Linked DNA regions of Rhinolophus ferrumequinum. The protein of the gene in region 1 purifies or fractionates together with the protein of each later gene. This does not show direct contact. Links are inferred from orthologs where the notes say so. Each region holds a gene or a part of one and is shown on either strand. Other genes may lie near its edges.

Region 1 (15,073 bases):
CAGCCATCTGTGTGTCCACTGTTGATGGCTTGGATCGTGGCTTGTGTGCCCCGAGCACCAGGGTGGAAAGTGGCTTGAAGTAGGCAGAGGTGCCCGGGGCAGGGAGGGGCACCTCACCTGGCCTGGCTCCTGGTGTATCATGCTTTGGATATGTTGGGAACTGGTACTGGAGTTGCTTTCATCCTTCATGATCCATGCTGGGCACTCCTTTTTGGGGAAGCTTTCCCTGAGCACAGCTCACCCCTTTCTGAAGTCCCATGACATTCTGTTTTTCACTTGGTGCCCTTAGTTCAGATGATGGGATGGCTCAATATAGAGCTACGTGACCTTGGGCAGTCACCTAAACTCTCTGAGCCTCACATTCCTGCTCAGCACCATGGGGGTCGTGAAATGATCCACTCACACAAGTTGGGGAAAGACATGTCAGGAGCAGAGGCCTGCCCCACCCAGGGCCTGGCCCCTGTGGAGTAGCTGAAAAGTGACTGGGACATCTCCCTCCCTTCCGCTGTGCCTCCCAGTGTGGCCATCCTGCTGTATCTGAGCCGCAAGTACAAGGCCCCCGACCACTGGTACCCTGAGGACCTGCAGGCCCGTGCCCGCGTGGATGAGTACTTGGCATGGCAGCACACAGCCCTGCGGAGTAGCTGCACCCGGGCCATGTGGCAGAAGGTGAGCCCCAGGGGGCAGGGACCCCTCCCAGGATGGTAAGTGAAAAAAAGTCAAAATAGGAAGAAATGAGGGGACGTTTCATTAAGTGTTGATGTGGTTTCTGGGTCTGCAAGGATTTCTAAGCCTAAGAGCAATGGAAGACTTAAAGAAGTACCTCATTGACTTTACCCATGCAATGAAATTTTGTCTAAGGACAAAAACAATTCAATTTAAAACACACTAAAACCTGGGAAAGATCTTGGCAAAGATAAGTTAGAAAGAAGTAACATTCTTAATATTTAAGATGTTCTTAGAAACCCGTTAGACAAAGACACAGAAGGAAAATAGGCAAAGGACACCAGCAGGGATTTAATGGAAGGACAGAGAGAAATGGTCAATAAATGGATGAAAACCCGTTTCACCTCAGTAAAACTCAAGTAAATGCACTTAAAAATAGCATGCACATGGGGCGGCCGGTTAGTTCAGTTGGTTAGAGCGTGGTGCTCTTAATAACAAGGTTGCTGGTTCGATCCCCACATGGGCCACTGTGAGCTGCGCCTTCTACAACTACAGTGTTTCCCTGAAAATAAGACCTAGCCAGACAGTCAGCTCTAATGCGTCTTTTGGAGCAAAAATTAATATAAGACCCGGTCTTATTCTACTATAATATAAGACTGGGAATATAATATAATATAACATAATATAAATATAATAATATATAATATAGTATAATACTATCGGGTCTTATATTAATTTTTGCTCCAAAAGACGCATTAGAGCTGATTGTCCGGCAAGGTCTTATTTTTGGGGAAACACAGTACATTGAAACAACTACTTGACTTGGAGCTGATGGGTCCTGGAAAAACACGCTTGAATGAAAAAAAAAGGGGGGGCTGCCAGATGGCTCAGTTGGTTAGAGCGCAAGCTCACAACAACAAGGTTGCTGGTTCAACTCCCGCATGGGATGGTGGGCTGCACCCCCTGCAACTAAAGATTGAAAATGTTGACTGGACTTGGAGTTGAGCTGTGCCCTCCACAACTAGATTGAAGGACAACGACTTGGAGCTGATGGGCCCTGGAGAAACACTGTCCCCCAATAAAATTTATTAAACAAACAAACAAAACTAATACCAGGCAAATGGAATCCAATTATTAAAAAGTTTAAAAAAAAAGAAAAAATAGCATGCACATACCATTTTTATTTATCACATGTGCAGGTATTTTTGAAATGTGTACTCTGAGTAATTATTTGTAAAGTACTGGCGCACAGCAGGTGCCCTATGTATGTGAGGGAGCACGAGAAGGCAGGCTCACATTGCTGCAGGTAGGGTACCCCTGTTCTGAAGGGCCATTTGGCAAAAAATAGGCTTCCATTGCCTTGAAAGTGTCTTCCTTGAGCCTCTAGGGCCTGGGAGAGGAGCCCCCTCAAGTTGGTGGGGACAGAAGTCTGTTGCATTTGAGGAGAGAGTGTAGACTTGCTCCTCAACGTGTGATCCATGGACCAGGAATGACAGCATCGCCTGGCAGCTCAGTGGAGATGCAGGCTCAGGCTCCGCCCAAGCATGTTGATTAAGAATGCGCACTTGAATTGAATCACATCCCAGACGGATTCGCAGGCACATTCCCATTTGAGAAGTCTGGGTGGGGTAGGGAGTGGGGATAGGATGGCAGCTGCACTGGTGAGAGCCTGGTGGTGAGGTCTTTGTGGGGAGGGCAGTGGGAGCCATGGAAGGCTTCATACAGGGAGAAGATATGGGCAGACGGAGACTGCAGAAGGATTCCGCTGGCTGCCATGTGTGAGGACCCAGGGAGAGGTGGAGGCTGTCCCTCCATGAGTAGGAGATGAGGCCTGGGCAGGTGGTGGCCGTGGGTGGAAAGGAGTGGGCAGCAGTGAGAAGAAATCCAAAGGACTGGTGATCGATTAGATGAGAACAGAACCAGATTGGGCTTTGGGCTGAACCTCAGCCCTCTCCCTGCCTGCCCACCCACCAGATGATGTTCCCTGTGTTCCTGGGTGAACGGGTGCCCCCTGAGACATTGGCATCTACTCTGGCTGAGCTGGACAGCTGCCTGCAGCTGCTTGAGGACAAGTTCTTGAAGGACCAGGACTTCCTTACGGGGCCCCATATCTCAGTGGCTGATTTGGTGGCTATCACAGAACTGATGCATGTGAGTACTGTGGGGTGGGGTGACCCACCGGGAAGTGGGGTGTCCTGGGAGGGAGCCAATGTACCATCTCATGTCTCCCTTTGTGGCTGTGGGACCCTGGATAAGTCTCTCCGCTGAGACTCAGTGTCCTCACCTGTAAAATGGGACTTCAGAGCCCCACCCTGCAGGGATATTGAGGAGCTTCTCAGTGTCTCCTGGGAGAGGACCCTCAGCTTATCAAATGTGGGGCAGAGGAGGGAAAATCCACCTGATAGATTCCTAAACCAGGTCATGCTACCTTGTGCTTAACCATGCCCAGCCCTACCACCTGGCTCCCTCTTCCGATAGCCCGTCAGTGCCGGCTGCCAAATCTTCAAAAGCCGACCCAAACTGGCCGCCTGGTACAAGCGTGTGGAGGCCGCAGTGGGGGAGGACCTCTTCCAGGAGGCCCATGCAGTTGTCATGAAGGCCAAAGACCTGCCCCCAGCAGACACTGCCATGAAGGAGATGCTAAAGCCCTTGGTGCAGGTTTTGTTGCGGTGATTAGGGGTGGGGCCTCTGCAGATCACCAAATGGAAACTGTTGTCAGAATAAAGAGATGGAGCTGCCTCTCTCCTAGGCCATGAGCAAGACACTCTGCACAGTCTCTGGTCCCCAGTTACTCCATGCAGCAAGCCTGCATTCCTTTTGTTTGTCTTCTCACTCTACTCCTGCCCTTTCCACTTCAACTTCCATGTGACCTCTGGACAGAGCTTTAGTAAACATGTATTTGACCCTATCTGTCCTCTTGAAACTTTCCGTCTTGCCTCACTGCCCTGAGGCTATAGTACAGGTCATTGAACTTTGCATCCAGGCAAAGCTCCCACCCCTCCAGGCTGCCCTCTTCTGGTTGCACCCATCACTTTCCAGCACCCCTCCCCGCCCCAACACACCCCAGCTTTCTCCTCAACCTCCTGGGCTTGGCTCATGCTGATTCCTTTGCTTACAGGGCCCCTCTTTACCTTCTTTGCCTGCTTTATCCCCCCACCCTCCATCTTTTGGCACTTGTCACTCTGCACTAGTGCTTCCCTCCCTCTGTCCTGGCAGGAAGCTGGTTCTCTGCCCCCTGGGCTGAGCAGGTGTCACAGATGGGGGTGACACTGTGAAGAGATGTTTGAGTTAGGAATGGCCTCCGTCTCTTGGGTCTCTGGAGTGACACTGTCTCCGAGTGGGGTTCAGGTTGGTGCATGAAACTTCTTGCAGTCAGGGAAGGTCCAGGTTATTTCCTGGCCCTCCAGGTGTTGCTGAGAAGCCTTGCTCTCCTAGGCCTACTTGTAACCTTGACCACTGTCGTCTCCATGCCCCATTCTGGGTTCTAGATTTTCCACCTGTCCTTGCTCTTTCCCTTCAGGACTGTCACAACCTACCTGTCTTGTGTACCAGATTCTCTGATATCTGAGTCATCCAATAAACTGGTAATGGGACAGGGTCATGAACAGACAGAGCCTCTTGGCCTACCTGCCTTCCCATGGAAGCTATTTAGTATGCACACTTACAAGATCTGACAATTAAGTTCATGAACTGGTTGCAATGATGTTGCTAACCTTTTTTGATATCAGAGGGATTATTCATTATGAATTTGTACCGACTGGACAGTTAAACCATGTTTACTATTTGGAAGTCCTGAAAAGGCTGCGTGAAAAAGTTAGATGACCTGAACTTTTCACCAACAATTCATGGCTCTTGCATCACGACAATGCACCACTCACATGGCACTGTCTGTGAGGGAGTTTTTAGCCAGTAAACAAATAACTGTATTGGAACACCCTTCCTACTCACCTCATCTGGCTACCAATGACTTCTTTCTTTATCCAAAGATAAAGGAAATATTGAAAGGAAGGCATTTTGATGACATTAAGGACATCAAGGATAATACTATGACAGTTCTGATGGCCATTTCAGAAAAAGAGTTCCAAAACTGCTTTGAAGGGTGGACTAGGAGCTGGCATCAGTGCATATCTTCCCAAGGGGAGTACTTCGAAGGTAACAATAGTGATATTCAGCAATGAGGTATGTAGCACTTTTTCTAGGATGAGTTGGTAAACTTAATTGACCGTGTAGAATTTTAGATGTGTAATTGAAATTGTCCATATACACCCACATAGTTTCAATTATATTTTCATTTACAAATCAGACAACTTCAAAACACTGATGAGAGTACCATGGTTAGTCATAACAAAAGATTTCCACGTTTTAAATAACACCTTTTGTTTTGCTTATGAAAATATAGGGTGCCATAAATATTGCTGATAATTGGACTGGGGACCTGGCTCCTGCCCTCTGGTGGACAGTTTCTCACTCTGAGGCAAGGTTGCTACAGGCAGAAGACAACACAAAGGATGATGTCTGATGTCCGCGGGGTCCAGGCAGGGATGCAGTAAACCGAGGATCTTTGCCCAGCCCCACGTGTCACACACTCGTGCTACCAGGTCTCCTGATCAAGAGAAGCACACGTTTTTATACTGAACCTGAAGTGGTGGCAACTCATTCAAAAAAATTTTAATTCTCTGACGATGTAACGTTATTAAGGTAGATCCTAGGGAGGGCCCCTACAGGTGTGTTTGCGTGTGAAGGGGGCGCTTTTCAGACCTCCATCTAAATTTGGGACAGGCAGCAGGAGACTACCACTTTGGAAAGCCACAGGAGACGGAAAACGTCGGACAGTGTGGCTGGATCGGAGGCGGGGCTGGTGCGGCCAGGGCTCAGCCAATGTCTCGTTAGGGGGTGGGGTTACACCGGGCTGGCGGGGCATTAGGACTTCCGGAAATCTGTGCCAGAGCACACGAAGGTTGTCTGCAGCGGTTGAGGGGTGCAGCCTAGGCAGCCAGTCAGTAGGTGCTGTGTGCCTGCACAGCCAATGAGGAGCTCGGTTTCCGCGGCGCCCCGCCCTTTTCCTTAATACCGGTCTTGGGAACACCGACCTGGTCTCCGCGGGTTTTTCCTCCGCTGCGGCACCTTAGCCATCTTTCCGCCGACATGCCGTTCGTTGAGCTGGACACGAACTTGCCTGCTGGCCGCGTGCCCGCGGGGCTGGAGAAGAGGCTCTGCGCGGCCACCGCCGCCATCCTGGCCAAACCCGAGGACGTGAGCGTGGGCCGGGGAGCACGCGGCTGGGGGAGGTTGATGGACCAGGGGTCCGGCTCTGTCCACGCCCCTACTTAACTACCAAGACCCCGACTCCTCCCAAGGGCCCCCGCCCACCACCCGCCAAACTGACCTTCCGCTCTCTATGATCTCTCAGTCCCACCCCCACCCCCACCCCCACCCGCTCGGTATTGCCTTCCCTAGCCATGACTCTGACGTGCCCTCCAAGGACCCCAGTCCATGCCCCTAACCCTGACCCTGCGGGGTCCGCGCGTCTTCGATCCCACGCTTTTGGGCCCTGAGCGTGAGCCTGGCCTGCATCAGCTTCTGGTGAAACTTTCGTGTCCCCTGCAGCGCGTGAACGTGACCGTGCGTCCTGGCCTGGCCATGGCGGTAAACGGCTCGGCCGAGCCTTGCGCACAGCTTCTTGTCTCCTCCATCGGTGTGGTGGGCACAGCGGAGGAGAACCGCGGCCACAGCGCCCGCTTCTTCGAGTTCCTCACCAAGGAGCTGAAACTGGACCAGGACCGGTGCGTAGAGGCAGGGAGAGGACACTCGAGGGATTTCTGCACGACCGGGGGCAGTGATCCTGTCTCAGGGTCCCTTCTAAGGTTGGGGCAAAAAGTAAATTCTTCACCTTGCCCAAGAAAGCTCTAGTGCCCTGGAGTCCCTTGACCCCTGAGGCCCCCTAGTGGTGGGTCCACCTTCAGACTGCTAGCAGAATTGAATGCAGTCCTGGCTATGTTGAGTGTGGTCCTGGGTGGGCCACGCTGCTGTACGGACACCATCCAGCCCCTGACATGCCTGCTGCCCTGTTGGGGGTTCTGGGGAAAACATTAATGGGGTGAGGCAGACTTGCAAAATGCCTGGTGGGCTAAGGCAGGCTGGTCTGGGAGCCCATGGTGGGAGTGCCTAGCCTATGAGTCTTGGAATGAGTCATTAGCCAAGGAGCTGATGACATCTTTTTCTGTCTCCTGAAGGATAGTTATCCGCTTTTTCCCCCTGGAGGCCTGGCAGATTGGCAAGAAGGGGACGGTCATGACCTTTTTGTGATTGGCACGGAGGATATCCAGGGCATCTGAGAGTTGGCCACCTCGTCCCGAGAGGCCTGCCTGGCAGAGTGAGGGCGTGGTGGATTCCAGTTTCTGGTACCCCCACATGCAGACAGGCCTGTGATCTCACAGTCCTCTTCTTCCCCATCCTCATGCCAAATAAATGAAAAGAGCTTTGTCTTTCAAACATGACTTCTTTATCTCCCTTTACCCCTCCAACGCATGCTGGGCTACCCTGGGGAGCAGGGTTGGTTTATGAGGTGGGGACCTTAGGGAACCTGGGAGGTGGGATGTTTCCTAACTTCAGGGCTGCTCTTTCATGTATCGTATTCAGGCTGCTCAAATCAGAGGGTGGAGGGCTCATGCTGAAGGCCCTGCTCTCCATTCCCATGTGCAGGCTTCTGGGGAGACGCTGACAGCCTGGGCTTTCCTGCAGACTCTGCTGACCAGATGTTGCTGTCCTCGGCCTGGGCAGTTCCCTGCCCATAGACTGCTTTGCCTGGCAGGGAAGCCAGGCGGGTTGGGCTTCAGGGACCTTCCCTGGCATTACCAAGCTCCATCTTCTCCCATGAGTCTTGTTGAGAATTCTCTAGCTATGTGAAACCCATGCCCCAGAATGGCAAACCTAGAAATGCAGTGTCTGCCACTGGAAACTGAATGAAAGGGATCTCCCTCCCCCATCGAAATACCATATCGTGCTTTCACATATCAGAGGATAAACATTGTATGGGCACTGTGTTTCACCCTTGTCTTTGGTGTACCAGTGAAATACCAAATTGAGATTTTTTTCAGTCTCATTTAAGTTAGTTTCCAATGGAAGGTGCCTCTGCCTGCTGTGTTTGGACCAGACCACTGCTGAGAACTCTCATTAAAAGCTAGGGCTTGGAGTTCCTTCCCCTGGCAACCTGTCCCAACTGTTTCTGCATTTATTCCTTCTGCCAACATGGGAGTCCTGCTTCCCTGAGGGGCTCCGAGAATGTGGGTTGAATGTGAATGAATAGTTAACGTGGCTAAAGAGGCACCTTTGACAGGACTATAAGGTAATAGCCTTCTAGCTGGTCTCTCCACCTTAAATCTATTACCACTCTGATGAGAATGATGTCATCGGTTGGCTGTGGGGACTGGCCCCTCCAGCATTATCTCTCCCCACTCTGACCCTGAGCTTTACACCCTGGTGACACGATGCTGCCTCCAGCCCCTGGGTAGCCTGCACTTTTTCTCACGTCCAAACCCTTGCCACACATCTTTCAAGGTACAACCTAGGAGTGGGACCTGCATCCAAGCCTGCATGTTATCCATGAAACTTTAAAATCATTTGTTTATGCTTTTGTTCACTGTCCCTGGCCCCCCAAGGCTATACTGTCAAAATCAAGGTTGATGACTCAATTATTTTGTAGTTTCTGGCATATCAGTGAAGCTTTATTGTATGGAGCTGACTCTATGAGTGCTTCACAGTGATTTTACCGTCGTTAAGGTCAAAGAGAAAGCTATAACATTCATTGCTATGTAAGCCATTCTTGCTGGACTCAAGTAGCTATGCATTTCAACCAGTGTGAAGCCCTTCTCTATAACTATTAGCTCCCAAGAGAGTAACCTCTCTCAGCCCGAGACCTTGTCAGAAACCCTTCAGAGTTGGGCTCTGGAATTCTGTCTCTCCAGCTCATTCATTTACCAGGTCTTGGTTTCTTTTCCCCTTTGTTTCAATAGTTGATGGTTATCTGTGCCTTTCGGGCTTCAAATCCTTATCAGAAAGAGGTGAGGCAAGGAATGTGAAGGGGAAGGGTCGTAACCGTTTCCCTCGTGTTTCCCAAGTTTCCGTTGCTTTCAGAGCACCTGCCTCCGGTTGTACCAACAACACGGCCCGTCATTTAGCGACCGTTCGGGGCCAGGCCCCGAGCTCGGCGCTTTCCAAGTAGTACAAGTGGTGGAGCCGAAAGTCCGATCGCAAGCTGGCGCTCCGAGCCACAACGACACAAGGAACGAAGCCTACACTCCGGAAAAGTCGCAACCCTACACCAGGCTGCTCCGGACCGCGTCGGACGCCTTCCGCAGGGTTTTTGGTAGCCGGCCAGCAGGAGAACGGCGCGTGCGCCCTCACTGATTGGCTGGCGGAGCCGGCACCGGAGCCAATGGGAGTGCTCCTTGTTGTTAGGCGCGCAGCCGGCTGGTGCGGGGGTCGGGGCGGACGGGCTGTTGCCGGGGAGACGCCTGGTGAATTCCCGGGCAACGGGTTTGGGAGAGGTCTTCGGTGTGGGGGCAGGTCTCTGCTAAGCCTAAGGCGGCAGCGGGGTCGCGGGCCTGAGGCCCTGCGGGCGCAGGGTCGAGGCTACTGTGGACGCAGGGGGTTTCTGGGTAGCTCCTGTGCTACAGTAGGGGAAACCGAGGCCGGAGAGCGGGAGCAACGAGGCCAGGCTTCCCGGCTGCCCCGCAGGCCTCTTCACGGCTTTTGCCGCCGCCCTGGGGTACCTAGGACCGGCTCCGGCCTCGTGAGTGGTTTACAGTGACAACAACTGGAGCTACCATTGATTCGGCGTTTGCCGGTGCGAAGCCCGGCGTAACCCTTGACTCGCGCGCGTCCTTTCACTTCACCTTCACTGCAGCCCTGCGAGGTGAGTGCTGTTATCAGCGTCATGTACAGGAATGGAAACTGAGGTCGAGAGAAGGTGAAGTGACTTGGCCAAAGTCCCCCAGCAAACCAGTGGGTCAGCCCGACTCCAGACTGAAAAATCTTAACTGCACTGTTTCCCTGGTGCAGCCTGGCCGGGCTAGATAGAGTTGACACTCGCAGTTGTCTGCACAAGTGGCTTTGTGGGAGCCACGTAATTCTTTGGGACCAGTGTTACTAGAGGTCGTAACCATGGGGCACTGGGATTCCGTGCGGCGAAAGGTTCCTTCTGTGTGTGATTAATAACTAGTTAGAACTAAAATATCCTTAGAGTGGTCTCGTTTGGAGTTGGCAAACTTTTGTTGTAAATATAAAAATATTTCTATCTGTCTATATAGATTTGCCTGTGGACATTTCATATAAAGGGGATCATACAATATGTGGTTTGTGACTGCTTTCTTAGTGTACTGTTTTCATGGTTTAATCCATGTTGTCAGTATTTTTATGGCTGAATAATATTCCATTGTATGGGTATACCACATTTTATTTATTCATCAGTTGATGGACATTTGATTTGTTTCCACTTTATGGTTTTTATGAATAATGCTGCTATGAGCATACCTTCATTTTAATTTTAGTAGTATATTGCTTCATTGTGTGCATGTACCATAATTTATTCATCCACTCTACTATCTATAGCCATTTAGGTTTTTCCCAATATCTTGCAATTACAAACAATGCTGCAGTGAATAACCCTGTGCATACGTATTTTCCTGTTGTTGGAGGTAAATCTTCAGGGTAGATTTCTGAGAAGTGGAAATGCTGGGCAATTGCATATGTAATTTTGCCTGTCGTCGAATTTCCCTGCGGAAGGGGTTGTACCAAGCTGCATTCCCATCCACAATGTATAACAATAGTTCCTGTTTCCCCACAACCTCACCAACAGAGTGTGCTGTGGTACTTTCATTTTTGCCAGTGATAGGTGACAAATGGTGTTTCAGTGCTGTTTTCATTTGCATTTCTCTAATTATAAGTGAGTTTGAACATATTTTCATATGTTTGAGAGCCAGTGTGTGTCTTTTTTGGTAAATTGCTCGTATGTTTTCCCCATTTTTCTATCAGGTTTTTCTTTTTCTGCCCTCAGGGTTTTTTTTTTTTTTTTTTTTTTTTTAAATTCTGGTAAAATACACTTTACATGAAATGTACCATTTAAGCTATATTTACATTAATGTACCTTTCCATGGCACTAAGTACATCCACATTGTTGGCAGCCATCCCCACCATTCATCTCCAGAACTTTTTCTCATTTTCCCAAACTAAAACTCTGTACCCATTAAACAATAACTCTCCATTCTTCCCTCTCCCAGTCCTTGGCAACCACCATTCTACTTTCTGTCTCTGGATTTGCCTATACTAGGTGTCTCATATAAATGGAATCATATAGTATTTGTCCTTTTGTGTCTGACTTGTTTCACTTCGCATAATGTGTTCAAGGTTCATCCGTGTTGTAGCATGTGTTGAAATGTCTTTCTTTTTTAAGGCTGAATAATATTCCATTGTATATACACACCACATTTTGTTTATCCATTCATCTGTCAAAGGACACTTGGATTGCTTCCATATTTTGGCTATTGTGAATAATGCTGTGTCCCTCAGTTTTTAAGAGCTCTTTATATATTAGGAATATTAGTTCTTTGTGGTGTATGTTGCCAATATTTTCTTCCAACATATCAGTTGTCTTTTGACTCCTTTTGGATTTTTAAGAAAAATTTTTAAATTTTCCAGTTTTATTGAGATATAATTGACATATAGCAAGCACTGTATAAGTTTAAGGTGTCTAGCATAGTTATTTGACTTACATATATTGTGAAATGATTATCACAATAAACTTAGTTAACATGCATCATATATAGATTCAAAAAACTACTTTCCTTGTGATGAGAAGTCTTAGGATCTACTCTTTTAGTGACTTTCAAATATACCATACAACAGTGTTAGCTGTAGTTATCATGTTGTACATTAATTACACCCCTAGTACGTATTTATCTTACAACTAGAAGTTTGTATCTTTTGACTACCTTCGTCCAATTTCTTCTCTCCCATTCCCATCTCTGGTAACCACAAATCTGATCTCTTTTTCTATGAGTTTTTTTTTTTTTTTCGTTTTTGTTTTTGTTGGTTTCACGTATAAGTGAGATCATACAGTATTTGTGTTTCTCTGTCTGACTTATTTCACTTAGGATAATGTCCTCAAGGTTCATCCATGTTGTTGCAAATGCCAGGATTTATTTTTTATGGCTAAATAATATTCCATTGTATATCTGTACTTTGTCCATTCATCTGTTGATGGACACTTTGGTCTTGGCTGTTATAGGTAATGCTGCTACGAACCTGGGGGCACAGATATCTCTTCGATACAGTGTTTTTGTTTCCTTAGGATATATTCCAAGTAGAGGAATAGTTGGTTTATATGATCTGTTTTTAATTTTCTGAGGAACCTCCATACTGTGTTCCATTGTAGCTGTACCAATTTACAATCCCACCAACAGTGACAAGCATTCCCTTTTCTCCACATTCTTGCCAGCACTTGTTATCGCTTGTCTTTTTGATGCTAGCTATTCTAATAGGCGTGAGGTGATACCACATTGTGGTTTTGATTTGCATTTCTCTAAAGATTAGTGATGTTGAGTACCTTTTTAATGTCATTTACATATTTTGGTCATTCACATATTTTCTTTGGTAAAATGTGGATTCACGTTCTTTGTCCATTTTTAATTGGATTATTTTTTTTTGGTTATTGAGTTTGTATGATTTGCTTATTGATTTTGGATAGTAAACCTTATCAGATAAATGGTTTGAGGATATTTTTTCCCCGTTTTATAGATTGTCTTTTCATTTTGTTGTTCATTTCTTTTGCTGTGCAGAAGCTTTTTAGTTTGATGTAGTCCCACTGGTTTATTTTTGTTTTTGTGTGTGATTTTTTTTTCCTGTCATGCAAAATTTAAAACATTTTTAATGTAGTTAAGTTTGTCAATCCTTTCTTTTACTGCCTCTGGATTTTAAATCATAGTGAGAAAGCCTTTCGCTATACAATAAAGAGGAATTCAACCATGTTTTCGGCTAGTACTTGTATGGTTTCATCTTTTTCATTTCGATCCTTACTCCACTTGGAGATTATTTATGTATATGGTCTGAGGTATCAATCTAATTTTATCATTTCCAAATGGCTACCAATTTGTCCCAGCAACGCTTGTTACAAAGTTCATCTTGACCTCAGTGATTTGAGATGCCACCTTTGCCATATTTTAAATTTCCATATGTACTCGGGTCTAATTCTAGACGTGCTTTCTTTATGTACGTACCAGTTCCACTGTTTTAATTATTAAGGCTTTATATAGTATGCCTTAATGTCTGGTAGGACTCATCCCTTCTTGGAACTTTTCTTTTCCACTGTTTTCCTAGCTATGCTTACATTTTTGTTTTTCCGTATAAACTGTAGTGTCAGCTTATCTGGTATCTTGGTATTTTTACTGGAATTGCATTGAATTTATAAATTAATGTAGGGAGAACTGACATCTTTATAATGTTGAGTTCTGTCCAAGAACAGAGGATGTGTTTCCATTTGTTCAAGTTTACTTTTGTGTCTTTTGGTAGTGTTTTAAAATTTTCTATGCATAGGTTCCACATTTCTTGTTCACTTTATTAACTTTATTCTTAAGTATTTAATCATCTTGTTGCTATAGCGAATGGAATTTTTTCTTTACCATAATGTCTTCTGTTTGAGTATGTGAAGGCTATTGATTTTTGTATGTTAATTTTATATCATGCTACTTCATTGAGTTCGTTTAGTATTAAGTTTTATCATTGATTTTGGGGTTTTATATTATCTGCATTTAATAATAGTTTTACTTCTTCTTTACCCATTCTATACTTCTAATTGGTTTTCCTTTTTTAATTGCATTTTGAATACTCCTAATACAGTGGTATATAGTAGCAGACGTAATGGGTATCCTTGCTTTGTTCCTGTTGTTAATGGAAATGCCTGTAGCGTTTCTCCATTATATAAGATTTTGACTTTAGAACTAAGATCTATCATCTATCTATCTATCTATCTATCTATCTATCTATCTATCTATCTATCTATCTAATCTATCTAATTATGTTAAGAAACTATCTCTCAATTCCTGTATTCTTGTGTGTGTGTGTGTTCTTTTTCCTCATGAATGAATGTTGAATTTTGTCAAAGGCTTTCTCTTCTATGGAGGTAATCATATGATTTTTCTCCCTTAGATGATGTCATTGTATTTCACACATGCGATATGTGTGTTTTCATTGTTAGCATTTCTTTAAATTTCTCCAATGTTAGTTGCATTTCCTTTCACCCAGAAGTTGTTTAATAGGAGGTTCTTAATATTTTGGCTAGAAGGACCAAATTGTTGTTGGTAATGGTGGTGTTAGTAAATTTTAGTTTTAATGTATTGTGACCTGAGAGTGTTGTTTTTAGTATTTTTACTTTATAGAAGGTGTTTTCTTTGTGACCTAATATATGATCTTTTTTGTTGTTGCTATTTTGGTGAATGTGCTGTGAGCACTGGAAAGGAATATGTAGTCTCCATTATCAGGGTGTAGAATTTGATAAGCACCTATAAGAGCTCCTCTATTCACTTTATTGTTTAGATCTTCTATCTTCTAACTTTTTTCTCCACTTGATCTGCCTTGTACTGAGAGTGATGAATGAAAGTCTCTTATTATTAGTTTGTATTTATGCATCTCCTGTGGTTTTTGCTTTTTAAAGTGGGTTGCTGTGTTATTTGGTGTATGTTTTTAAGTGTTATATCATCAATGTGAATTGTACCTTTTGTCACAGTTAATATATTTGGACTTGAATTGTACTTTGTCTGATATCCAGATTGCTCCCCTGCACTTTTAAAAAAAAGTATTTATTTTTGTTAAAATATTTTTATATTTATTACATTTAATTCAATAAGTTAAATTTTTATTTGACCTCTTATTTTGGGAATGTACAGCTCTCTGACTTTTTAGCACATTTATAGAAGTGTGTAACCTTCACTACATGAGGATACAAAACAGTTCCATCACCCTCAAAATGTACCCCTTTATAGACACCCTTCTCTTACCACTGGCTGGCAGTGACATGGTCTTCGTTACTATAGTTTTGTCTTTTCAGGAATGTCATGTAAATGGAATCACACAATATGCAACCTGTGGATACTGGCTTCTTTCACTCAGCATAATGCATTTGAGATTCATCCAAGTATCATTTGTGTCTTTTAATTTGTAGTAGCGTTCCATTGTATAAGTAGTATTCTTACTGAGCAGTATTCCGTTGTATGCTCTATCACAGCAGTTTGTCCATTCACATATTGTAGGATGTTTGGGTTGTTTCCAGTTTTTGGTGATTTGAATGTAGCTGCTAGAAATATTTATGTACAGGTTTTGTGTCAACATTTCTCAAGGTAAATAGGAGTGAGATTGC
Region 2 (15,958 bases), on another chromosome or scaffold:
CATGCTTTTTTTAATACACAGAACTGTTGCCTTGAACTCCACCAGCTAGTGACTAAAGGCTGCAAAGCGCTGCAAGTCATTTTCACACACACCCCCCAAAGGTCTCCTTCCCTAAACATCTTTCAAAATAGGACAGACTTGTATTTGCATAAAATGACCGAAGACAGAAGGAGAAGCTAAATGGCTTCGTATGCTTTCTATCAAAACATTTATTCTAAGGGTAAATTCTTGGGGAAAAAGGCCCTTCTTGTTCACCCGTCCATTTAGATCCACACTAGTCTTGCCACTTGCATTTTCTGTACCTTCATGCATTTGCTTAATAACAGCATTTTGTTCTCTCCCAGCTCTACACTTGTTTCCACATCAGTGTGGACTAGATGATAATCCACTCAAGGAATGCTGAAATGTCTAAAAAACCTTTCCCACCCAACGACGTTGTTTTATTGCCCAAGAGAGAAACCTTACATATTTTTCTTCAAATTTCCGGGCAAGGGCTTCCACTTTATGCCTTTCCTTTTCTTCATCGTTGAAAGGATCCGAGAGATCTTTCTTCTGTAAAGAGACCATTCCACAAAATAGGAGTCACAAAAAATTTCCATAACCCTATTCATAGTACACTCACTGACTACTCAACACCATAAAGTACATAATAAACACAACTGTTTTCAGAAAAGACAAGGTAGAAATACATGCTACCTTCTCATCGGTGTTTACCTTCGTTGTTTAAGAAAGAAAAGTTTCCATTCATGTAATTCAACAAAACTTGATTGAAGACCTACAATTGCCTATTATAGCACTAAGTCCTGTCAGGCTCCAAATATGGCAAAGGGCCTTCAGTCGGGGATGCTCAACCTGTATAGACTTGGGTTTTAATGTAGCTGGTTTCCTTCGTCACCCTAAAACTTATTTTATGCATTTAAAAACATTCTTCTAAGAAAGGCTTCACAAGACTTCCAAAGCAGTCAGTGGCTCAAAAAGGTTAAGAACCCACTGAATGTAGCACAAATTTGTGAAAGCTATTTTGTCTAACTGGTTAGAAGAGTGGTATGAATTTGTTCTTCTCTCAGTGCTACCAAAAATCAAACCCAGGTTCATGGCAGTCCCTTTCCTTGGACACTTATCTTGAAGGATCAGGAATTTCCTCTTTTCTCTGAACCTCAATACTCATTCCAAATATTTTCATGCAGTTTTACAGCTTATTTCTATTCCATAAACTTACTCTTGCATTTTTTCCATGAAGATTTTCCAGAATTGGACCTTGAACTTCTTTGCAAGAAATTTTAATTTTAATAATGAAAGACTCCTGTACTAAACACGCTTAAGACTTCAGAGTAGGCCAAAAACACTAAAGATTAGAGTCTTGTTTGAAAACAAAACTCTCTTATCCCACCCTCTCATCTCTGCCTACTGAAACCCCACTCACCCATTAGGGATCAGTTAAATGATTCAGGGTATAATATATGTAGAATGAGATATTAGAGAACATACATATAATGTACCACAAATGGGTGGTTTTTAAAACATGTGCTTATCTGCATCTTCTAATTTTTCTACAATGATCACATATAACTTTAAGTGGTTCAAATAATTTTAAGAAATCCCACTAATCTGGAGCAGCACTGGATTTGATGTGTACTCCTTAGTGCCTTATAAACAGCAGTATTCCCGTAACTACTACCTCCTGAACGTATGAAGGTCCAGCTCTGTCCAAACACCGTATCTGGGTTATAAGCTCTCCTCTGTCCAAGCTCTCCAGGGCTTGCACTTATATCCGACTTAAACAATTACCACATTGTGACTCCTGTTACTGTGTTGGTATAATTCTCCTAAAACATCTACAAGATTGCAAGTTCCTTTAAGGCTGGGACAGCAGCTTCTCTACCTTTATATAGTCCTCAGCATCTAGCAGTGCCTTCACATCATAAGAAATATATGCTAAATGAATGAATACATGAATGTGTCAGATTACATTGTGCTTTGAACACTACAGAATAAACACATCGATTCAGAAGTTCTCAATCTGAAGGAGTGAATCCCCTGAAACTGAATCCAAAGTTCTCTGTGTGTGCTACATGCATTTTTCTACAATGCGGAAGAACATCTGGAGTCCCCCAAAAAGGTGAAATCGGAGCACGAGAGTTCCAATTTCATTTGGCCTACTGATCTGGTTTGAGCCCCCAAATAAATACCTTAACCAAACCCTGCTACTGTCTCCTCCTCTCAAGGAAGACGATGTTATCCCTACTTTGGAAAAGGGATTATCAATACATTTGAAATTACATTTTCTCATCCTGTCCACTGACATCATACAACAGGTTAACCCTTGGTACAGATTCAGTTGGCTTCCATTCAGCCAACAAGATCTTAATCAAGGAAACACATTTTTATCTGAGCAAAGAAAACTGGATAATCCTTCTAACCAAAGGCACTCTCCTCAAACAGCACAATCATGAATTAGACTAAAGGTGCACTGGCCACCGACACTCCACTACAAACTGTACCTATATGAGCTCATCCACCCTGACAGCCTGTGAGCCAGGTACTAGCCTAACCCTCATTTGACTAAGAGCCATTCTAGAGAATGAAATGCTGTAGTGTGGGACTCAACTAACCTTCCCTCGAAGCCTCGTCTAGTGAACAGGTATACAGTAGGCGCTTATAAATACTCTTCACCTAGCTCCTGCTCATACTGTATGATTCCATCTAAATAAAATACAAGAACATGCAAAACTAATGTAAGCGGTTAGAAATCAGGCCAATTGTTACCCTTCAGGGCAGAGTAGTATTTTGGGAAGGCATGAGGAAAGTTTCTCATGGCCTGGAAAATGTATTTTGTGATCCAGGGTAAAGGTTGCATGAGTGTGCTGAGTTTGTGAAAATCCATCAAGCTGTGCATTTATCATGTGGGCACTTCTTTTATGTATGTAATTCAATAAAAACTTTATACAAATTTTTTAATGTTAATGACTGGCCAAAACATCAGTAATAGTTGAAGCGGGGTGATGGGTATATGGGACTTATTATACTATCCTCTCTACTTTGTGCATGTTTGAGAAGTGCCATACTAAAAATAAAAAGTAATATAAATCTGCCAGGAAAATAAATAGACTATTTAAAAAACATTTGAGAAATCAAACTGATTCTCAAAAGCCCAGAAGACTACAACCTAATTCTTGCCAAAAAAAAAAAAGTAACTTGGAAAAACCCCACAAAAATGGGTTTCTATCCCTCCAGGTAAAGAAACTATCCAGTGTATTACTGTGTTGAGAAGACATGAGCAGTTATGTGTCTTTTCTCATCTACCCTTACACGAGGCAAAGTGAGAGTCCCTTGGAAAAGAAAAATGTCCAGCATGAAATCCAGCACTGGACAGCCACAGACTGTTCACATTTACCTGTAATATTTGTAGCCTTGGTGTAAAAAAAAAATTGTTTCTTTCATTTAATTAACCATAATTCAAATTAGCCTTGGATACACCATACATTTTCTCCAGCATAAATCAGGAGAATGGTTCTAGAAAGAATTTTATCTCTTCATGCCCAGAGGTAAAACCAGCAAACCTGGTGCTTGCTTTGGGCTGGGTGCTGTGATCGTGGGACAGCCAAAGCCTCTCTAGTCTTGTTTCCACCCTCCGGAAGTCCCATTTGCACAGGTGCCTAAGATTACACCTGCAGGGAGTCTGGAGCCACTGGGGGGTACCTTGTCTCCGGGTTGAAGGCCTTTCACCTTCCCGCGTATGTTCTTCACCAGCTCTGGGTAGAAGAACTCTGGGCAGCGTTTGTGATCTGGCTCAAAGAGGGTGAGTGTAATCCGAACAGCTGCTGCAGCAGGCTCAGAGTCCTGATGCTGCTCTGCTCCCCCAACCTCCTCTTTCCGGGATTTCTTCAAAAATGCAGGATTCAGAGAACCTGGTAGAGAGGTGAACTGGACCCTGTGGGGCTCCGACATGGCTACCAACAAGTCTTAGCAGGTGTCACTGCATGGCTTCTGTTAACATTGAAAAGAAGGGCCAGGTCAAACCAAGATGATAAAAATGATCATTTTTCTCGTTCGGTTATACAGATTTAAGTTTAAAAGAATTTCAGTGTCAATAAGAATCCATTGTTCAATTTACCTTGCCATATATACATATATAAATGAAAAGCACCCAAATCCTTTCAGATAATCACTGTTTAGCATACTTCCTTCCAGTCTTTTTCCATATTCACTAAATCCTTGACATTAGAGAACCCATGCTGACAGACCCTTAAAGAATCCTCAAAATTGCACAGAACCCTAGAAAATACTGTTTTTCATTTAATCTATCCAATCGTTTTTATTTTCTAGCTAAGAATTATGACCTCTTTTTTAAGACCTCCTTATTTTCTTCACTAGAAGTTTACTTTCATTCAGGGCCATTCTTCAGAATGACAAAGTTTTCACCAGCTCAGAGTAATGCCTACCCTGGGCATTGTCTTAGGAGTGACGTGGCTAGGGCTCACTTCCTAATGCACCAGCCTCTCACCACGCAAACTTGGGCCTCGACCAAGCGACAAATTATCACATGCCAAAGACCTTCAAAGTTGCTTGGAAATGGTCAGCTTATATTGTAAACTCCAGAATTCCAAGGGTTTACAGAATATAAATATGCGAATATACTACATATACACATGCATATGTATTTTGTGCTTCATGTATGATTTGTGTCCTGCTTTTTGAAACTGACATTCTAGTGTGAATGTCTTAGCAGGTAAAGTCTGCATGAGGTAAAGGTTGCATGAGTGTACTGAGTTTGTGAAAATCCATCATGCTGTGCACTTATCATATGGCTTCAAAAAGGATATTCATTGCATCCTTGTTTGTATAGGAAAAATGATAAAAGCAACCTGAATGTCCAGCATTAAGGAAATGGTTGAAAAAAATTAAGTCTTTTTTGTTCATTTTTAAGGGCTTCTGATATATTGTAGATATATAATATATATTACCTATGTAACATTTGTCATATCTCTTACAAATGCATTTTCTTCATTGTTATTTTCTGTTTAAGTTTGCTCAGAGGTATGATGAAAGAAATTTTAACTTTTTATGCAGTAAACTAGGCTCTTTTCCCTTATAATTTCTCCCATTTCTTTTGTGCCTAAACTGTCCTTCTCCAACCAGGTAATTCGTATGTAAGAATTTACCTAGCCAGTCTTTTATAGATCTAACTTTCACGTTGAATTTACTCTGCTTATAAGGAGAGAGGTAAGGCTCTAACTTGGTTTCTTCCCAGCACCAGTCACTAAATAATTCTTCTTTGCCCTGCTGATTTGGTATATACTATGTATAACGTCTCAGATATCTTAACTCTTTTGCTGTGACATTCGGATGTGTTTTCCTGTGGCTTGCACTATCAACAACAAAGATGTTTTGTATGCCATATTGTGTAACATTTTGTAATAAATTTTTATGTCATCAATGCCATTAGATTCTAATATATCTATACTTATATCTAATTGATACCACTTAGTATGCTTTGAGTGGTTTTTGCTAAAATTAAAGGTAATGATAAATTTATCACCACATAATAAATGTTTAAAATAAAAATGTCATTTATGTACAAAGCAGCTCAAAATGTTATTAAATGCATAAAATAGTCAAAATATCAACTTTTTATTTTTTGTGGATTTTTGACACATTTTGGGGAAAAAAACCTTGAAATCAATTAACACAGTGAGAGTTAAGGTCTATTTCTGAAATCCATCCTATCATATTGATGTAGTAGCTAAACATTCCTTAACCAGTACCATATTGTTTTAAGAAATTTTATGGTATATTTTAACATCTTGATTTTAACATTCATCTTTATTCTTCTTCTTTTAAAATACTTGGCTATTCCAGCCTATTTATTATTTCAGATCAATTTTAGAATCAGTTTGACAAGTTCCCAAAAAACTCACTGCATTTTAACTGTAAATGAATCATAAATATGAATTCAAAAAGATTTATATCATATATTCCCATACATATATAAAGATATTTATATAGTACACGCAATTCTCATTCTTTCCATTGTGACGATAAACTGTGATCTATAATACCAGACAAAGGAGTAAAATATCTAAAAATAGTTAAAATAATGCTAATGAGGCAGCAAAGTGATTAGCAGCAAAACAGGTTGGTGGTGCAAAAGACCATCGGGCATTAAGACGTTGAAAGAAATTCCTCTAAAGGAAACTTTCGAGGCCCCCAGGACATTTGTGATACACTTGGGTTGTGAAAATAAATTTCAGCTAAAGGTTGAAGGCTTGAAAGTTACCCTCATCGATAAGACAGGCAAAGTCTCACTATAAAAAGAGAATCTGCAAGTAACCGATGGGATACAGGAAGGTCATCCTAGAAGTGACAACCAGGTTCCTGCCCCAATCCAGGCAGTAATTTTAAAATATACCCTTATCCTGGCCCAAATTTTACACTTGATCTTAGCCAAAAGGCCAAGAAACGACCTGGCCCAAATTTTAGACATTGTAACTTCAATCCACCTAGATAGTAAAACTGCTTCCCTTAGTTGTTTAAGTGACTTTGCAGGCCTGAGAAGTTATAGATATAATACTAGAGAATCATGTAAGTCAAACCTATAGCCTTTTAGATTTTTAGTCATCGTGATAACTGCTATTGCTTGTTACTAGGCCATTAGAAACGTTTAAGAGATTCAGACATATTAATGTCTGACGTCAGACTTACAATTTTAATTTGAAATCCTTAAGAAAATATAACTAGGTTCAAAAATATTCTTTTAAAAGAATCTTACCATTATACATTTATTAGCCTTACAAAAGCTAAGTCCTTGGAAAGATTTTACTATTTGGTTTATAAGTTCCCTGTTTTAGAAGTTTGAAGTATTAGAGAGAACAAGCATTTAAAACTTCAAATGCAATTTAACACATTTAAGGGAATTTAACTTTGTAATAAAAAGCTTATTGTTTAGGAAAATTTAATCTGTTAAACTGGTGCCTTAATTGAAGCTCTGTCAAAGATGAAGTACTTCTGTTTTTACAAAAACATTCTTAGATTTGTAAATGAAACAAGATTTGTCAGCAAAATTTAAAGCCTTAAGAAAACCTAAGGGGGCGCCCTGATGGCTCAGTTGGTTAGAGCAGGAGCTCTTAACAAGGTTGCCAGTTCAATTCCCACAGAGGAATGGTGAGCTGTGCCCCTGCAACTAAAGATTGAAAACAGCGACTGGACTTGGAGCTGACCTGCGCCCTCCACAACTTGACTGAAGAACAACGACTTGACTTGCAGCTGATGGGCCCTGGAAAAATACAGTTCCCCAATATTAAAAAAAAAAAAAATTATTGAAAAAAAGAAAACCTAAGTATTTAAATACAGGCATACCTCAGAGATACTGCAGGTTCCGTTCCAGACAACCGCAATAAAGCAAGTCGTAATCTTTTTGCTGGTGGAGGGTCTTGCCTTCAATTTGTAAAAAACGCAACATCTGTGAAGGGCAACAAAGTTAAGTGCAATAAAGCGAGGTATGCCTGTACTCACCTTTAAGGAGTTAAACCTTATTCTAAGCACAGTATTCTACAAACAACATCCCTTTTAAAAACCCTCAATTGATATTACCCAAGAAATGCTAGCTTCTTTTTGTATCTCAGATTATTCCCAGGAATGATATATTTTTTTGTTGAACGTCCTCTCAATTACTGTATTTTCAAGCTAATTATTGGTGAAACATAGAAAAACTGAATTTTGTATGCTGAGTTTCTAATTAGTTTCTTTACTGAATTTCAAAATAGGCTTTTTTTCAAAATAGGCTGTCCTATCATCCACAGAAATGAGAATTTTGTCTCCTTTCTGAAAAATGGTGTCTCGTTTTTGTTTCAGGTCTTACTGCATTGGCTAGAACTTACAGGATAATATTAGACAATATATTCTTTGCCATGTTCCTGACTGTAACGGGAATGCCTCTAGGCCAAGTGTGAAGTTAATTTAAAATTCACATTTTTTATCAAGTCATTAAAATAACCCTCAATCCTCAAAATTTAAGAGTTTTAAAATCAGAAACATATGTTGAATTTTATGAAATTATTTCCTGGAATCACAAATGTGCTTTAAATTATCGGTTGGTCTTTGAAACAATTCAAGACGGTAAATGACAGTTCCTAAAACTGACAGTACTTTAGGGAAACTGAATTCCAGTGAAAAACCAGCTGTGGACAAGCCAGTTCGCTAAAACAAAAACAAAAATATCCCACATACAACCAAAGTCTCCGTGTAACAAAACGCCTAAGGGAGATAGATGTGTGTGGACCTGCAATCTTTTCAAGCAGGCGGCGACTCAAGAAAAGTCCAGTCTAAGTTAAGTCAACACTTGACTTAAGAGTCCTTGAGGTCTGTAATTGGGAATGGGACTTTTTGAAAATGTTTATTTTCTAGCAGGAATCTGACGTTTGGGCAGTCTCTGTGAACGGTTCCTAGTTCCTCATTCAACGGCTTGTTTTCACGTATTGAAACTACGCCTGGCATCCGCCTCCCTGTTGTCACAACAACCTGCTCCTAACTTCTCCAAAAGTGTCAAACTACAACTCGGCTTAAGTGAGAGCCCGGTCCCGACAAAGACACGCACCTTTGTCCCCAGCGCGACGCAAGCTACGGCCCCGCGGGCCGCACTTGTCCCCCCGCGACCGTCCTCATGCCGGCCCGGGAGCCCGGGCTGCGGCGCTGCTAGCGGCCGGTCCCGGAGCCATGCCTCCCGGCGGGCGGCCAACCCGCGCCGCGGCCCATGGCTGGGTCCCCGCGGGCCCGGGGGAGCCTCGCTGGCCGTGCCGTCTGCCGGCCCAGGAGGAAGTGGAGAGACTCTGGCTCCACGTCGGCCGATCAACTCGGAACCTCGAGGCGGGCTGCACTGGCGCCCCGGGAGAACTTGAAGCGCGGACACGGGCTCCGGCTCGGAGCCGCTCCCCGGACGCAGCTGGCAAAAAGCGCGCTCTGAAGGACCCGTTCGCCCCCGGGCGCGGCCACGCAGAGCCCGCCGGGCGCGGGACCCCGGGTGCGGGGCCCCGGGCACGGGCGGAGGCTGGCTTCCAGGCCGCGCCGAGGTCCGTCAGGGTAGCTGCCCGCGAGGCGACGCGGCCGGCCCCGGGGCCCGCGCGGGACTAACGGCCGTAACGGAAGCGCCGTGGGGGAGGGGAATGGAGACCAGGGTCCGGAGGCGGGGCGGGTCGCAGGGTCGGCTCCTTTGCGCGCTGGACCGGCCGCACAGCCGCCGTCGCCGCCGCCTCAGATCCCGGGCGCTTCGTTGTCACGAGCCGAAGGGAGGGGAAAGGAGCCGGGAGTCTTTCGGCTCCAGCGCGCGGAGACCGCGGCTCCCGCGTCACGTGCCGCCTAGCCGGCCAATAAGCACCGGCGGGCGTGGCGACGTCAGAGCAGCGGCGTGGCCGATGACAGCCGGCCCCCGTCACGTGGCCGGACTCAACCCAATGGGCGGCGCCGGGGCGACCTGAAGTTCCCGGCGGCCTGTGCGTCGGTGGTGGTTGGGTGGTAAGATGGCGGCTGTGAGTCTGCGGCTCGGCGATTTGGTGTGGTGAGTCCGGGCGTCCGGGGCCAAGCGAGGTGCGACGGGAAACTGCTCCTTTGGGCGCGGGGTTGGCGGACAGCCCCGGAGCTGCCTTTCTGGGCGCTCCAGGCCGCGGAGAGAGGGCGAGACGAGGTGCCGGTGCTGGGAGCGACGCCGGGCGGAAGGGGCAGCCCTGCCCCGGGGGACTGAGGCCGAGGGTGGCCGCGGCGGGCCGGGCTCCGAGGCCGCCCGGGAGAGAGCTGAGCTCCGGACCCGGACGCCGACGGCTACTGTGAGGGGCATTTCTGGAGCCACCCGCGGTGCGGGTTCCTCGGGGTCTTGCTGGGGTTCCCTGTAAAGCGGGGGAGCCCTCAAGGCCATCTCGCCCCGGCAAGCCCGTTAAAACCAGCGTTGCAATGGAACCGAACTCTGCGGGCGGCTTGGCCAAGGGTGTCGAAACCGGACTGATGGCGCTGCCCGGTGAAGAAATGGAGAGGAGACTTCTTCTTTACAACCGAAGGCTTGGCAGTGATCAGTGCCGTTTTGGGTGCCTCTTGTGGTCTTCTTCTGTGTCCCAGACAACCGCCCGAACCAAGACTGACTGTCGCCGCCTCGGTCGAGCTGCGTAGCTTATTTCTCGACCCAGAGGAAGGCTTCCATTAGCATTTGGCAAAGCCAGCTGGTCTCGCGGTGAATTAAACCAGACTTTGTAAGGGGAAGTCTGTGTTTACAGAGCAAACTGGCCCCCACCCCCGTCACGGGGAGGCTCTAGACAAGTGGCTCTTGGCGGTTTTGTTGTTCTGTATCCCTTGTCACCAGAAGAATGTACATACTTTATGCACATAGGTATACAATTTTGCATTCCATTTCTGAGGAGTTTGGGCCTGTTGAGTCCAACTGGGGAAGCCAGATTAAGAACTCCTGTGTGCCAGCTTTTGTTCTGGCACTTGAGGATGCAAGTGGAGATTTAGGAAAATAAATTGCATGTTGAGTGGGTTGAAGAAGATGGACTGGCTTTTCCAGGGCAAGTGCTGACTCTCTGTGTTTTCTCTAGGGGGAAACTCGGCAGGTATCCTCCTTGGCCAGGAAAGGTGAGTCTCTTGCTACTGAACTAAAGGAAGACATCTGAAGTTGGGTTTGAACAGGTGGAGAATGTAAGATGCATTCCCTTCAATTTCTAGCATTGAGTTAAACTGCCTATTTTAAGTAACAGAATTTTTTCTTCTGGAACATCAGTTCATTTAGAAAAGGCAATATAATATAAACCAGATCACTTAATCTTCATTAAATGCTTATTTCTTGAATCAGAGATGGTTTTGTGGAGGTTTTTAACCCTGGAAATCAATTCTAATTTGAATTTAGCTTTACACTTAAATCTAACGAAAGGAGAAGAAAATAAATTCTCCAGGAAGATAGAAATCTAAATGTAGACTAGTGAAAAGTCAAAGTATTTTTGTCCCAACTAAGTTTAAATCTTCTATGTTACCATATGTGCTGCTCCAGTGCATCTTTGCAGAAGTTGGCATTTCAAATTTTGCATGAGGCGATCCGTCATAGCTTTCCAAATGTTCTGTTTTTATATTCTTGCTAGGAGCCCAGGAAATGTCTTTAGACTGTCTCCTTGCAATATGGTATTTTCAGTGCTTCAGTTGCCTTTCCTTGTCACTATTACCTGTCTCAACTCTTCCTTCACAGAAGTATTTTTAAAAGTGTCCTCTACATTTCTTCAGTGATGACAGGGTCACATGGGATGAGGGGATGATATTTGTCTTAGTTTTAACTGCTTTTAAAACAGGGGCATTGCAGTAAAGGAATACCGTATCTACTGAACGATGTGCCACATGTTAGATGTAGAGAACTTTGGAATATTTGTACATCTCCACACATCTCAGTAGAAAAGTGCCAAATTTGGATACATACTAGGCGCTCGGTTTTTTTCTTTTTAAGACATTTCTTTTGTTTTATTTGATTTTTTTTTTCTTACCAACTTAGAATGGTGGGAAAAAACCTTTTTTTCCCTTTTATCCCCCAGATTGTTAATCCACCCAAGGACTTGAAGAAACCTCGTGGAAAGAAGTGCTTCTTTGTGAAGTTTTTTGGAACAGAGGATCAGTGAGTAGTGCTCACCAAGAGTTTCGCTTTCCCTTTGTTTAGGCATTGGCCTGGGTCTGAGCTGCTCTGAGAGTATTCTGTGGACCCTAGTTCAGTCCTACTAGGTAGTCTATAAAATGGCATCATTCTGGCTTCATACCTAAAGAAAAGGTGCTATTCTTACCTTGCAGAAATTGTCCTGGGGCCAATAACAGTGTCAGTCAGGTGAGAACTAGGGCTCACCACCTTCTAAATATAATAATCACATTGAGAGTTTCTCACACCTCTCTTGCCAACTCCATAGGCAGTTCCTCCTATAGGACCAATTTGGTTTCCCATTTAATGGCTGTTTATCAGTGTGGCTCATGCATGAGCTAGACAGTGAAAACTAAAATTTTATTTACCTTAATAAAAGTAATTGTTTAATCTGTTTTCTTTTGGGAAACTAAATGACTTGCTTTAATGTTGTAACATTTAGCTAGCCCTGTCCTAGAGTTGAAATCAGAATCGTTAATATGAGATTCTTTGATAGGCCATATAAGAAATCACAGTGTGGGGAAGAAGGTATTTGCTTGAGATTCTGATGATTTGTTTCGCGTTCCCATCACTACATCAAGTTGATTACCTAGTTCTAGCTAGATGGTTTGATTTCTTTAAGTAGTTGTATTTCTGTTTATGATTCTTACAGGAAAATGTAATTTTGGGTTAGGAAAATGTGACTTTTCTGATAAAGCTAATACCAATAGTTAAAATACACATTCCTAGAAAGTGATATATAATATCCATAGGAAAATCTCATAAACTGTTCTTCACTCACTCAGGAGTTTATGTGTCAGGGTGCTTACTCATCTTGGTTTAGAGTTTGCCTAGCCCCATACAGATGTACTGATATACCCAGGCCCAGTTCTCTGTCACAAGCCAACTTAGCAGCCTTTTGATGGCAGTATCTCAAAGGAGTCACTATCCTGGAGCTGTGAGAGCCAGAGACACTCTGGAAGAGGGAATGTTCTGGTATGCCATGGATTTCACAAGAAAGATTGTCCCGATGCATAAAACAAGTGCTGATTTTGCAACCACACTCCGCATTGCTTGACACCGAAGGGAACTTCAGGAAAGCGAATGTTGTGGTGCCCCGTCTTCCAGGAACTCAGGTGATAAAGACATAAATATTTCAGATGGGATTAAGTGCAGAATGAGTGATGCGGGTAATTTGTTAAAGGGCTCTAGAACAAAGAGGGATCAGTGGAAAACAGCAGGTCAAAAGCTAATGTAAGAGATGGAATTGGAATCAAACTCTGGGGATGGATAGAATTTGGACCAGTAGTGGCATTCCGGGCAGTGGGGATACTATAAGCAGCTGGAACAGCTGGGCGTTGAGTTGGATGTGTGGATAGAGATTCCTTGCTTGGGGTGAAGAATTTGTGCTTAGGAATAAGACAGTATGGTTGGCCTAACTTGTGTACTTCCTCGTTTAGCTAACCAATTCTGAAACAGAAATGGGAACTCATAGAAAGTGGGGCCTTAATCAGATTACAACAGTCCTGAAAGCCATTGTGTTCTAATGATAATTTTTAAAAAGTGCTGAAACGTTAGAAAAATAAACTGGGTCCCTGTGTATAAGAAATAGTGCAGACAGAGAAAATTGGAGTTGAGTGAATATCAGAGCTCAACCAGTCACCCAGATGAAGCCAGTGAAAAGGATGCACTTCCTGAACACAAAAGGAACCTGCTGGTGTTGGGGGTCGTGATGATGTGATTTCTAATTAAAGTGTTTTTGAGGGAATTCATAAGCAAGTGGGTACAGGGCAACTACTAGATATGACGTCTTTAAGCCTTTTTAATTTTCTTGGTAGAGTTCCACGTAAAAGGCTATTTAAACACTAAGTCACTATGCTTATGTTGGCTAGGCAGCTGACGCGCTGAAAGGGAGCAAAGGGTAAGGGTCTACTTCTCTGAAGGGAGAATGGTTCTTACTGATCAGTGTTAAGGCAGTTTTTATTTAGTATCTTTATATTATCTGAAGGTAAAATCTCCAGATTGTTGGGTAGCAGTTACTTTGGGTAAAGATCTCTGGATTTGTACCAGCCTAACATGCATTCAGGTACCACTTCCACCTGCTTTCTTATTTGGGCAAGTTCTTTCACCTTTCTAGGACGTGTATCCTCGTCCACATGTGGGAATAATACTCCTAACTTTGTAGTTACGAAGTAGCGTCACTTACTCATAGTGTGGTTTGGTGTACAGCAGGTGTTCGGCAAACATTAGGTTAGGGTATAGATCTGTTATAAGAGGAAAAAAAGCTGGTAAGCAGGTAGCTTTCAGTAAGGAAAATGTGAGAGAGACACAGACTACCCATGAGAGAGAGAATCTGTGTGTGAAAAGAAAGGCACCTGAGAGTTAGAGGTTCCTAAGGACATCAGCCAAAGCCTTTTGGTCAAAAAGGCTTTGAACACAAAACAATACACTCTTCCCTCTTGTTTTTCTTCTTTTTTCTTTTTTTTACGTCATTCCACCTTTGTGTAAAAACTATAGTGTGCCTCTTCAGGAGCACATGCGCAGTCTAGTCTGTGATCCCAAAGGGGTCTGGTGGAACTAGTCAAGACTGCGAAAGGGGACCAAGTCAGACAAAGGAGTAGGACTCTTTAATGTGAAAAAGCAAAGACCAAAAGAAGCACAATCAGAACTTACGAAATAATGAATGGCCTTAAGGAGAGAAACACTGACTTGTTCATAAATTCTCAGATATTTCGACAAGGAGAAGTGAGTAGAAGAAATAGTTTATGAAACACATTTAAGAGGTGATTTAGACAGGAAATGCAAGTGGACTTTTTAGGGATGAGAACTACTTCGTGAAGGGCAAAGCCATCAGTGGCTGCAGAAAAAGTTGGACTCTACCTCACCTTCAATGCTTGATGTCAGGGAGAGGGCCATGTGCTCTCGGCACATCCTGGGGTGGAGGCACCTCTGGTGACTGGGTCCTGACCTCGGTGGACAGGGTCTGACCCAGGGAGGCTGTTCCTGTATTCCTGAGGAATATAGCATACGGTCAGAGATGTTCAGTTTCAAAACTGACATATTACTTATGCAGAAGGAAAAAAGATGGGCTGTTTTACATTAGGAAGGGCCTTTATTAAAAAGGCTTGTTCCTTAAGATCAATGGTAGTTTCAGTCTTTTAGAAATCTAATGTTTCCTCTCCCTTCCTCTGCCAAAACATCTAACAAATTGTGCTACATCCCACTGTTAGGAAGACAGGACCAGACCTTCCTAACCAGCCTCCCCTGTCAAGGGAAGGACTTAGTAAGATGTCTGGATTCAACTCTACAAGCCTGCATGGCCACAACGGGAATTGCCCAGAGCTGTTTTCTATTTCATGGAAAGACAGAGGGAAATACAACTTCAGCATAACTTTGCCAACTCCACCAGGTGACCACAACCAAAGATTAAGTCTCAGGTGCATGAGGGTCCACTTTGGACAGATGGCTGCCCATCAGGTAGAAACTGAGCTCAGAGTTTAAAAGTTTGGTCAGTGCCGGTGAACGGCAGAATGGAGGAAGTTCATTTAGTTTGCAGGTGCTCAAAACCACCAGAAACAAACCAGAGAATACTGTGGGCAAACAATGGTAGGTGTAGAAACTAAGAGGCAGGAGAGTTGTGGATTTTAAGTCATAAAAGGTCAGCCTGAGGTATTTTTACATCAAGCCAGATAGAAGGTGGGACAGGCTGGGTGTTAGGTGTCTGAGTAGTAAAGTAACTTCTAGAAAAATCTGCTGCTTGTAATTAGAAACATAGCCATTTGCAACCATCTGAGCATGCCTTTCTTTTCACCTGGCATCTGATTGACACTTTCCCCACATCCGCCACCATGTAATCGTTGGAGAATGGAGCCAAGTGGGTAGTGAGGGCCACTGCTCCGGGTATCTGGACTGAGCCACCAGTGTCCCCTCTGCCAGGGCTGGACAGCAGCTATCCTAGAGAGTGCTGAGTGGATTCTCGTCTCCCAGTGCCAGCAGCAGCTCCTGTCCTACAGGTGACTCCCTTGGGGGCTGAGGCAGTGGACTCCAGGAGCAGGTGTCATGCCGGAATTAGAGAAAGGGGTACAGAAAGAAGCAGCTGGCCAGTTTGGCGTAGACAGCGCATCCAGAAAGCCTTTCCAGCATTTGGGAATGTTTTCAAGTTTTGGAAACAAAGTCTTCTATATCATATCTGCAAGTCTTTGTTGATGTCTGCATGATAATCATTGCTTGAAATTAACTGAGAAATGCTTAATTCTTTTTTGTGTGGTTTCTTTTGTTTTTTGATTTGTGGGTTGGTTTGTTTTGGGGGGTGGTGTCTTGATTTATGAA

Evidence for each region.
Region 2: the proteins of CABIN1 (region 1) and UBN1 purify together in Homo sapiens (affinity purification with western blotting; 6 studies listed by BioGRID, with this or other methods). This does not show direct contact. The link is inferred for Rhinolophus ferrumequinum from reciprocal best matches to the Homo sapiens genes CABIN1 and UBN1.

The regions. Positions count from the first base shown.
Region 1 is NC_046308.1:22,510,694-22,525,766, reverse strand, and holds the start of CABIN1 (calcineurin-binding protein cabin-1), read left to right. Parts: upstream 1-9,139; 5' UTR 9,140-9,580; intron 9,581-15,073. Other genes in the region: glutathione S-transferase theta-3, read left to right, coding at 519-669, 2,641-2,817, 3,145-3,339; DDT (D-dopachrome decarboxylase), read left to right, coding at 5,812-5,919, 6,274-6,449, 6,900-6,972. UniProt on the Homo sapiens protein: May be required for replication-independent chromatin assembly. May serve as a negative regulator of T-cell receptor (TCR) signaling via inhibition of calcineurin. Inhibition of activated calcineurin is dependent on both PKC and calcium signals.
Region 2 is NW_022680357.1:5,957,585-5,973,542, reverse strand, and holds the start of UBN1 (ubinuclein-1), read right to left. Parts: upstream 7,419-15,958; 5' UTR 7,357-7,418; intron 3,988-7,356; 5' UTR 3,949-3,987; coding exon 3,700-3,948; intron 553-3,699; coding exon 466-552; intron 1-465. Other genes in the region: GLYR1 (cytokine-like nuclear factor N-PAC), read left to right, coding at 9,513-9,550, 10,578-10,614, 11,556-11,635. UniProt on the Homo sapiens protein: Acts as a novel regulator of senescence. Involved in the formation of senescence-associated heterochromatin foci (SAHF), which represses expression of proliferation-promoting genes. Binds to proliferation-promoting genes.